Arabidopsis thaliana: one gene and its partner. The protein of the gene in region 1 interacts with the protein of each later gene in a pairwise test. Each region holds a gene or a part of one and is shown on either strand. Other genes may lie near its edges.

Region 1 (7,780 bases):
ACAATTTATTTATGTCTGCCAACTGCCCAGTTGATCTCATCCAACATAACAATAAAAATGAAATCAATGTACATTTGATGAATTCAATAAATAAATAATATCGATGTATATATATATGCACATGAAATGAAATGTATATCTTATTTCCGATTAAGAAAATGAGCAAACGATTCTAGTGGGCGCCGATGGTGAAAAAACCTGAAATTGATGAAAATATATACTACAATTGGTTCATGTACTTTGTCAAATAATAATAATTGGTTCATGTTCTAAAAACCAGACTGATCATATTCGTAGAATGCAATCATCAGTTCACCATATGTATATGATTCCTCATAAATCAACCTTCCATGGATTTATAGCAAAAAGAACAGTGTGTTTCTCTTTTAGTGTATTTTCATAAAAGACGTACCATAAATGAATAAATTGTGTCGTTATCAAAAAAACAAAAGTTTATAATCGTGGCTGTTTTATTTTTCCTTTTATAGTTGAAGGACATGTCTACTACAAAGCCATTAATAATATGAGGGCTCTTTTGCATTATTCAAGCCCTAAATGTGATCTCATTTAGTGAAAAAAAAGTGATCTCATTTATTATGTCATTAATGGCTCAAACCAAACACATATTAAACCTTTCATTTTCCAAACTAACAAATAAAGAAAAACAGATAGGCTTATACATTATACATGCATCACCCACATAGATTTAGATTATTAAAAATTTGAGGTTGACTGGTTTGAGCTGTGAATGTAATCTTTTATTTAATTTGGACTGTTTGTTGTTAGAATAATGGTTGGGACTTAAATTTTAAAGTCAACTAGTGATTTGAAAAAAAAACGAGGCTTAACAAGAATATTTAACTAGTTAATCTAGGGCTAACTTGTTAGTAAGAAATTTAAGAAATACGTTTAATACTTCATAACACTACAAGTGTGGATTGTTCATTTCACATCATAAAGTACTAAAACTTCAAATTAAGTGCCAAATGAATATCCTATGCATTTTTTTTTTGTAAAAAAATTAGATTGGTTCTATTGAGAATATGCATGCAATCTTTTGGTTACAGACCTCTAGTTAAAGGATTTTAATTAGTTCTTATTTTCTATTTAGAATTTGAATTAGTTTCATAAAACATATGCAGTGATCAGTTTATAAGGTCAAATCTCACCCTCAAAATACAAACATATTTCACGAGTTTGCCCAAAAAGAAAGAACTAGTATTTGACGCAAGTTTTCATTTTGAACCATTCGTAAGCTATAACTAGAAGATTAAATACGGTAGAATAATGAATGTATTATGGGAAAAATGTTAAAAAAATCGCCAACTTTTAAAAATGGGACAAAAAAATCGCCAACTCCTGAAATGTCATTTAAATCATATACTTTTGGTTGACTTTTCCAGAAAGATAATAAAGCAAAGATTCGTAATCAACAAAACTTTGCTCTGTTATCTTTCTAAAGAACTCAATCAAAAGTATGTGATTAAAACGACATTTCAGGAGTTGGTGATTTTTCATCCCATTTTTCAAAGTTGGCAATTTTTTTGACATTTTTTCCAATGTATTATTGAGTGTAGCTACATGAAGTATGAACCATTTATCTTGACATAGCATTGCGTACTTTGAAAATAATTTCTTTACTAATAAAAAAACCTACACTTTTTTTTATAATAAATTTTTTCACTCTGTTTAGAAACCATGAATTGGCTGCTCTAACGATTCAAGAGAAATTTCGGCCTACCTTCGAGTTGACTTTAGATTAAAAGTCAATCACAGGCCCAAAAGTAAGCCCATAACTAGGTCCAAATATCGAAGCCCATGAATAAACTTTTTCATCGAATCCTAAAGCTAAGCATCAAACCAAACATCCGATGATCTCTCCAAACTCATCAATCTGATCTATCTCTCTCTTCCAGCTGTTTCATGATCGATTTACTCTTAACTTACAGCTGATTACAATTCACTGTAATCTCTCAAGAACCCTAGATTCTTTTTTTTCCTTTTCAATTGTGATCCGTCAGGTATGTGAATTCGATTACTTTCTATATCAATTCAACGAATTCCAAAAGTCATGTTCGCGTATAAGCAATTTAACCTTGTCGATTTCTTTATATTTTCTCTGTATGTGTAGCAGCAATGCTTGATCTTTAAATTTACTGATATCTGAAGATCGAATTAGGGTTCTGATCTACTTGATATTTATTTGTTTGGGCTTTTATTCAGGTTAGTGTCTGTTTATTAAAACAATCGAATTATTCTGAGTTCATATCATTTCTTTGGATTGAAGATTTGAATTCCTTTTATAGCAGCTCGATCTTGGGCTGAAGCTATGGCTCAGAGTAATTGGGAAGCTGACAAGATGTAAGTTAATTTTGTATTCAATAAAAGCTTATTTTTTTTCAATTCCTTACTTTGATATCTTTGTGTTTTTGTAGGCTTGATGTTTACATATATGATTATTTGGTGAAGAAGAAACTTCATAATACTGCTAAGTCGTTTATGACTGAAGGGAAGGTTTCTCCTGATCCAGTTGGTAATATTACACTTTCTTTGTTCCACTTTGTTCTTTCTTAATTTTAAGTTTTGATATGTAATTGTTTTTTGTTGTGTGAATGATTAGCAATTGATGCACCTGGAGGGTTTCTTTTTGAGTGGTGGTCTGTGTTTTGGGACATTTTCATTGCAAGGACGAATGAGAAGCATTCAGAGGCTGCTGCAGCTTATATAGAGGTGAATGTCTTCTACTAACATCTGGGAATATGTTTTGTTAGTTTTGAATTACGTAACTGACCAGTGGTTTTGAAATTTTAGGCACAACAAGGTAAAGCGAAGGAGCAGCAAATGCAAATACAGCAACTGCAGATGATGCGCCAAGCTCAAATGCAGCGTAGGGACCCTAATCATCCTTCTCTTGGCGGTCCAATGAATGCTATTGGTTCTGAAGGGATGATTGGGCAGTCTAATGCTAGTGCTTTGGCTGCTAAAATGTACGAGGAACGCATGAAGCAGCCTAATCCTATGAATTCTGAGACATCCCAACCTCATCTTGATGCAAGGATGGCCCTTCTTAAATCAGCAACAAACCATCATGGGTAAATTGGCTCAGCTTCTTTTTTGCTGTCGTTTTTCTAGTCCTCATACCTCTGACCCCTTGTTGTCCTTTCTTTTTTTTTCTGTCCCTAAACAGTCAGATTGTCCAAGGAAACCATCAAGGAGGTGTTTCGGCAGCGCTGCAGCAAATTCAATCACGAACTCAGCAGCCCACTGTAACTACTACTCGAGCACCTTACTTTATACTGTTCAAATTTTCTAACAGACAAGTCTCCAATCAGATATTTTGGTGTACATCTGAATCTCTTGTACGTGCAGGAAATCAAAACTGAAGTTAATTTGGGTACATCTCCAAGACAACTGCCAGTGGATCCTTCTACAGTTTATGGCCAGGGAATTCTGCAATCAAAGCCTGGGATGGGGAGTGCAGGTAAATATATCAATGTATTGCATTGTAGAGTAATCGCTCACCGAAAAGAAAATGGTGGTAAAATACGTGGTAGTATGCCTTCTATGGCAATTAGTTGACTATGGACTCCAAAATTTAAATATTACTTCCCTGTTATGTGCAAAATCATGATGAATTACATAGGGTGATATGCTAATGGCATCACGAGAATCTTTTGCTTACAATTTGTATAAATTCTTATGGTGTTGTGTTTGTCCCTTGTGAAGGATTAAACCCTGGAGTGAGTGGTCTTCCTTTAAAGGGATGGCCATTAACTGTAAGTCTCTGTGGTTCTTCTAAGAATTTATTTGTTTGTCATTCCAAGCCCAGTATTTTGCTAAGTTTCTTGACAAATGTTACAGGGCATCGAGCAGATGCGACCAGGTTTAGGAGGCCCTCAGGTTCAGAAATCTTTTCTACAAAATCAAAGTCAATTTCAGCTCTCGCCGCAGCAGCAACAACATCAGATGTTGGCTCAGGTTCAAGCGCAAGGAAATATGACTAATTCACCCATGTATGGTGGTGACATGGACCCTCGAAGATTTACAGGATTACCTAGAGGAAACCTTAATCCGAAAGATGGCCAACAAAATGCAAATGATGGATCTATAGGGTCCCCCATGCAGTCAAGTTCGTCAAAGGTAAGACTTTCTCAAATTACCAATAAATGCATATCCCTGTTGGATGCAGTGGAATCTGTTGAGCTGCATTATATCATCTTTTTCGGGTAGCAGAGAAAAAATGAAGCATCTCATTTTTTCTGTGTTCCGTTAAGTGGTGTAATTGGATCATTACGTCTGTCCTTCTATGCATTTTTTCTGATAATTGCTCGTCTATGCTTTAAAATTGTACTCTTTTGGGTTATCGTCTGACTGCTATACTTTCCATTTGGAAAATGTGTAAGGTAATGTGTTTGTGTTATCCTAATGTAGATCTACATAGGTATCAGAATTTTGTTTTTTCTTGTTAACCACATGAACCCAATAATAGAGAAAACTTATCCGCAATTAGTAGCTGATTACTACCAAACATGGGGACTTTACTGCTAAAATTTTATCAATCACATTTTTTTCTTCTGATTTTCTCTCTTTCCGTTGCTTGTTGGTCTATAGCATATCAGCATGCCGCCAGTACAGCAATCTTCTTCTCAGCAACAAGATCACTTACTATCCCAGCAATCACAACAGGTACTTTTATGTGGATCCAATCCCTCAAGTCTTATCAAGCATGTGGTTTTAACCAACTGAATATATTCTTTAGTGTCTGAGATGATTGAGCCACAACTTCCTTTTCGTGTATCTGATAGAACAACCGCAAAAGAAAAGGGCCTTCCTCTTCTGGTCCTGCTAACAGCACAGGGACAGGAAACACTGTTGGCCCATCCAACTCACAGCCATCGACTCCGTCAACGCATACCCCTGTTGATGGAGTTGCTATAGCTGGTAACATGCACCATGTGAATAGCATGCCAAAAGGGCCAATGATGTATGGTTCTGATGGGATCGGTGGTCTTGCATCATCAGCAAATCAACTGGTATGTTTCTTAATTTCTCAGAAGAATGATAACGACAATCTAGTTTTCCTCCAATAACATCTGGATACAGCATGCAGTTGTGTTGTGTGAAACAAGTGCTTTCTTAGCAGCTTGAATATTTTTTTTATATCCCATGGGGCCGTGTTTCTTTCAGCTTTCTTATGACAAGAATTAATAGCTGCAGGATGACATGGACCAGTTTGGAGATGTGGGAGCTCTAGAAGATAATGTAGAATCATTTTTGTCCCAAGATGATGGAGACGGAGGAAGCTTGTTTGGCACCCTAAAGCGGAACTCTTCTGTGCATACCGAAACCTCAAAGCGTATTCTAACACCCCAAGGATAAGTATGATACAAGTAGACGATATAAATATATACTAACACGGTCCTTTTTCTCGTTTCAGCTTTCAGTTTCAATGAGGTTAGTTGTATAAGAAAAAGTGCCAGTAAGGTCATTTGCTGTAGCTTCTCATATGATGGGAAGTTGTTGGCTAGCGCTGGACATGATAAGAAGGTGCAACTTCTTAATTTCTGAGATACGGTTTGCTTATAAACTTGTCATGGCCCTAAAACAGCTATAGATCATTTATAGGTAGGTAACATTTTGTTTGTTTAAAAACAGATAATGTGGATGCAAATTTATTTTTGTCAGTAGGTATTTATATGGAACATGGAAACACTACAAGTTGAGAGCACTCCGGAAGAACATGCTCATATCATCACAGATGTTCGCTTCAGACCGAATTCAACTCAACTGGCAACGTCATCATTCGACAAAACAATCAAAATCTGGGATGCTTCTGATGTATACTAATTTAATTTGTTTCTCTTTTATTTGTTGCAATTTTTCGTGTTCTGCTGTGACTAACTACTACCAATTTGTGCAGCCTGGTTACTTCCTACGAACAATTTCTGGTCATGCTGCACCTGTTATGTCCATTGATTTTCATCCTAAGAAAACCGAGCTTTTATGCTCCTGTGATAGCAACAATGATATTCGCTTTTGGGACATAAACGCCTCTTGCGTTCGTGCTGTAAAGGCAAGCCCCTGACCTTTTGTATGGTTTCTCTGGGATGTGAACTCTGTTTGCTAATCGTTGAATTTTCCAAGCACAGGGGGCTAGCACGCAAGTACGTTTCCAGCCAAGAACAGGACAGTTTTTAGCTGCAGCGTCAGAAAATACTGTGTCAATTTTTGATATTGAAAATAATAACAAACGGGTCAACATTTTTAAGGTAGAGCTGAAGATGATATATTGATATTTTTGAATTCCCCGGGTCAATCCACATAAAAGACTAAAAGCTTTGTTTTTTACTTTTAATACTTTGAATCTTCAAAGTCCAGTGCATTTTTCTTGTTAGATGCATTGGGGCATATGTTTAGATGTCGTAAGTGTTGATCGTTACTCATGGCTTTATTTACTTTTGATCTGGCAGGGACATTCCTCAAATGTACATTCTGTTTGTTGGAGCCCAAACGGAGAGTTGGTGGCGTCTGTTAGTGAAGACGCTGTAAAATTATGGTCACTGAGTTCAGGAGATTGCATCCACGAGCTTAGCAACAGTGGAAACAAGTTCCACTCTGTTGTTTTTCACCCTAGCTATCCCGATCTCTTGGTCATCGGTGGCTATCAGGTATAACCTATATCCCCATTTCTCAAACAAATAATGTGTCAAACAATATCTAGTCTTATGTTCAAATGTGTGATGAGGTGAATGTGTCTCTCAGTTGTTTTAACTTTGGTAAACGAATCTGTGACAGGCTATAGAGCTGTGGAACACAATGGAGAACAAATGTATGACGGTAGCAGGCCACGAGTGTGTGATCTCTGCCTTGGCTCAGTCGCCTTCGACGGGAGTGGTTGCGTCTGCAAGTCATGACAAATCCGTAAAGATTTGGAAGTAGAAATATTTCTATGTTCGTCTGAAAAGAAAAGGAAAAAAGAAGAAATAGCAGAGAGCTCAGGACTTTTTTTGGGTCTAATTTTTTTTTTTTTTTTAATGTTACATTAATAAGTTGGTTTTTTTTTTAAATTGGGTTTGTTTATGTCAAAAGCAAAGAGACTTGTGATATTTCCAATCTTTGTCTAATGATCCTACTTCTTTACTTCGTTGTTTTGATCTCTAGTGTTTAGAGTGAAAGAGAGATGTAAGTAATTTCTCTAGACCAACTACATTGTTGAATAATAATTTCTTATAATCAGCCAAACGCTTGTTTTTAAGGTCTCTTTACGAATATCTTATAATGACACTGCATACATTAAGTTGGTTTAAGATGAATACAAAACTCTAAGCATGCACATTGAAAGTACTCGTACGTTAAAACTTAGGATTAAGGATGAGTTTATTATCTGCTTAGGCTTAAATTGTCTTTGTTCTGGGTTACTTATTGAACTTCTAATATAACCGCATCTTTCTTGAATGACTCTGCCTCTCTTTCAAAATTATTTGTTTCAGCATCACTGTAACATTTATTGTAAAAATAGTTTTTTTGGGTTTGAATAAATTTAACTTTCAACTCAAAAAAAAAGAAAAACTCGATATTATATATAGAAAACGGAAATGTGAAACATAAGGAGAAGTAAAAAGCACGGTTACGTTTGTGTTTGTTTACAATTTACAAACACGTCTAACTTGGAAAAACTAAAATAAATGTACTTTTTTTTTTTTGGTCTAAAATAAATGTACTTTTTTCTTAAACATGAACTTATTTTTTGTAACAGTTGAGTGGTTGAATGAATCATTAA
Region 2 (3,201 bases), on another chromosome or scaffold:
TCATTTGGATGTAACTGTAGAACTCGCAACTTTTTGTTTTTTATGCTTGCATTAACTTACATGAAAATTTAGCTCTCTTAGACATAATAATAAACAATTAGTGTGCCTAAAATAAACTGATTACCGCAGACTTCAAGGATGACCCAGAGCTCTACGTCTTCCCCAAGCTGAAATATGTTGGACTCGAATTGTGGCAGGTAAATAAATCTTTGTCACTTTGAATGACCTTCGAAGATATGCTTTATTCCCATGACTCTCATCTAATACATGTTACTCTTCCAGGTGAAATCAGGATCATTGTTCGACAATGTCTTGATCTGCGATGACCCAGACTATGCCAAGAAGTTGGCAGATGAAACATGGGGAAAGCTCAAGGATGTAGGTGTTTAAAATACCCAATTTCATAACACAGTTTTTTTTTTTTTGTTTCTGGTTACTGATCAGAATATCCAATCTAATATCACATTGCAGGCGGAGAAAGCAGCTTTCGATGAGGCTGAGAAGAAGAATGAGGAAGAGGTAAATATCTCTCCTAATTATTTAGCTTAATTCATTTGAATCTCTCTAAAACAAGTAGTTTGGACTTTTGTGGAGTTTCTACTGCCAATTATGTAATTGTTGTAACCAAGTTGGGAATAGATAATCTAAGACGGCATTCTCCTTTTTCTGTGTTGATACAGGAATCCAAGGACGCACCTGCGGAATCTGATGTAAGCACTTGTGAAGGATCAAATTTTTTAGAGTCTTGTTTGTTTCTGTCAAGGTCCTAATATTATATGTGATATAAATTCCAGGCTGAAGACGAACCAGAGGATGATGAAGGAGGAGATGATTCCGATTCTGAATCTAAGGCCGAGGAGACCAAATCAGTAGATAGCGAGGAAACCTCTGAGAAAGACGCCACCGCTCATGTATGCTACCACAATATCACTTGGAGAAATTTCACTCATCCATAATTTTGTTGTTTTCCTTGAGTTGTGGTTAAAACTGCGTGATTTGGTTTTGCAGGATGAGCTATAGGTGAAAGGTTGAAGATTTGAAGACCAAAGTTTTCAGTCTCTTTATTGTTTTATCGTTTTCTTTTGAAGTATTTTAGCATCTAGTTTGTCGGAGATAGAAACAAGTTTTAGCAAAACTAAAAGGGGGATACAATGTCTGTCAGATGCTCATTTTAGACTTTAAAAAACCATGAAGAAGTTTTGCAGTTGCTTCTCTTTCTCTACTCTTGTTTCTCTGCTAAGCCAATGTCCGCCAAAATCGGATTCTGGTGTATTCGTTCACTGCTCCCCACCCTTTGAGAATTTGTTGTTAGTCTCTTGTCAGTCAATACAGACCACCAAGTCCATAATCCAACAGTCCAACGTCCCTGCAAGTTGATTGATACTAGAGTAGTAGTAATGTAGAATGTCTTTCACTTTCCAAACAATTTCCACATTGTCTATACACTTATACTGGGTTCACTTCCATTGTGAAGACAGATGTTGAGATAACAAAAATTATATAGAGATAATTGTACCCCAACCACAGATGCTTAGAACGCTAGAGAACGAATGCAGTGCAATCTTTGTTTTACCTTAACCTTAGACAGCAATATTTTAATTCATGATGTCATTCTCAAAAGATGAAGTCACAATCTTTATACAAAACAGCGTCCTAGCATATTGAGATGGTATTTAAGCCCAGAAAAAGCTGATTGAGAACCAAAAAAAGAAAAACAATTACGCAGGCCCTATTAAGTAATGGGCTTGGTTTTTTGGTAAAGATAATATATTTAGATTATTTCTTTTATTTCTATTGGTCTTCGTACCTTCACGCGGATCAGTGTTAGAAAAGAATGAAATCTGTCCGTAGAATTGTATTAATCTACGGTTGCTGTGATTTCACGCGGATCGTGATAGAAACCTCTTATATCCGTTGATTAAAAACCAATGAACGATCCAGATCTAATCCCGCTGAAAAAGAAAAGCGAAATATTTTCCCTCCCACTTCTTGTAATTTCCAGACGATAAATATCCCCTTCCTCAATCGAAACAAACTATCCAGATCTCAACTTTCTCTCATCTTCAAATTAAAATCAAACAGTTTCTTAATAACATTTTACTTCATGGCTCGTACCAAGCAGACGGCTAGGAAATCAACCGGAGGAAAGGCTCCAAGGAAGCAGCTGGCGACAAAAGCGGCGAGGAAATCTGCTCCGGCCACCGGAGGAGTGAAGAAGCCACACAGATTCAGACCCGGAACTGTTGCTTTAAGAGAAATCAGGAAGTACCAGAAGAGCACTGAGCTTCTTATCCGTAAACTCCCTTTCCAGAGGCTTGTCAGAGAGATCGCTCAGGACTTCAAAACCGATCTTCGTTTCCAGAGCAGTGCCGTCGCCGCTCTTCAGGAAGCTGCTGAAGCTTACCTCGTCGGACTCTTCGAAGACACCAATCTCTGCGCCATTCACGCCAAGAGGGTCACGATCATGCCCAAGGACATCCAGCTCGCGAGAAGAATCAGAGGAGAACGAGCTTAGATCTAAGTATTCTGGTTACTCTTGTGTTTTGATTAGAACCATAAGATTGTAAAATTTCAAGTTAAATCCAAGGGTTATAATATTAATTCCAAGCAATTATCTTTTGTTCTATCAAAGTATTGACTTTTTAGTTGACTTTATTAATCACTAATTGTTTGGTTAATTTGTGCTAGTTCACAACTCATTATAGTCTCACAAATTAATCAGCTTTGACGCTGAAATTGTTGTGAAGATCATTGTTAATTAGTTGTGATTCGATCGAAGATGAACTCCAATCTGCTATCGAATCCTATATCATCGGAGGTCTTCACCTCCATTGATTTGGGAACAAATTCTTTCAAGCTTCTAATAGTCCAAGCTGAGCCTTCCGGTAGATCTTTCGTTCCAATCGAGAGACTCAAAGAGCCAGTGGTGTTGTCTCGTGAATCTCCAACCTCAATTTCGTCTCAATCTCAGGCTCGCGCGCTTCAATCTCTACGGAAATTCAAAAGTTTAATTCTCTCGCACCACGTCTCTGGTGATAGGATCCGATGCGTTGCAACGGAAGCCTTACGGCGAGCCGAGAATCAGGAAGAGTTCGTGGATGCGGTTTTTGAGGATGTTGGGCTTAAGGTCGATGTGCTTTCTGGTGAAGAGGAAGCCAGGTTAGTTTATTTAGGCGTGCTTCAGTTTTTACCTGTGTTTGA

Evidence for each region.
Region 2: the proteins of LUH (region 1) and AT1G09200 interact in a two-hybrid assay, tested with the Arabidopsis thaliana proteins (one study listed by BioGRID).

The regions. Positions count from the first base shown.
Region 1 is NC_003071.7:13,864,906-13,872,685, forward strand, and holds LUH (LEUNIG-like protein), read left to right. Parts: upstream 1-1,866; 5' UTR 1,867-2,021; exon of another isoform or gene 2,022-2,134; 5' UTR 2,135-2,223; intron 2,224-2,306; 5' UTR 2,307-2,329; coding exon 2,330-2,361; intron 2,362-2,435; coding exon 2,436-2,533; intron 2,534-2,620; coding exon 2,621-2,730; intron 2,731-2,811; coding exon 2,812-3,092; intron 3,093-3,187; coding exon 3,188-3,266; intron 3,267-3,369; coding exon 3,370-3,538; intron 3,539-3,726; coding exon 3,727-3,776; intron 3,777-3,861; coding exon 3,862-4,140; intron 4,141-4,611; coding exon 4,612-4,686; intron 4,687-4,805; coding exon 4,806-5,033; intron 5,034-5,211; coding exon 5,212-5,356; intron 5,357-5,437; coding exon 5,438-5,547; intron 5,548-5,688; coding exon 5,689-5,838; intron 5,839-5,920; coding exon 5,921-6,073; intron 6,074-6,149; coding exon 6,150-6,269; intron 6,270-6,470; coding exon 6,471-6,668; intron 6,669-6,795; coding exon 6,796-6,939; 3' UTR 6,940-7,252; and 1 more. UniProt on the Arabidopsis thaliana protein: Transcription repressor subunit of the SEU-SLK1 and SEU-SLK2 transcriptional corepressor of abiotic stress (e.g. salt and osmotic stress) response genes, by means of an epigenetic process involving histone modification (e.g.
Region 2 is NC_003070.9:2,971,036-2,974,236, reverse strand, and holds AT1G09200 (Histone superfamily protein), read left to right. Parts: upstream 1-1,902; 5' UTR 1,903-2,104; coding exon 2,105-2,515; 3' UTR 2,516-2,666; downstream 2,667-3,201. Other genes in the region: CRT1b (calreticulin 1b), read left to right, coding at 130-197, 283-378, 472-519, 681-710, 795-911, 1,009-1,020; AT1G09195 (Ppx-GppA phosphatase), read left to right, coding at 2,780-3,201. UniProt on the Arabidopsis thaliana protein: Core component of nucleosome. Nucleosomes wrap and compact DNA into chromatin, limiting DNA accessibility to the cellular machineries which require DNA as a template.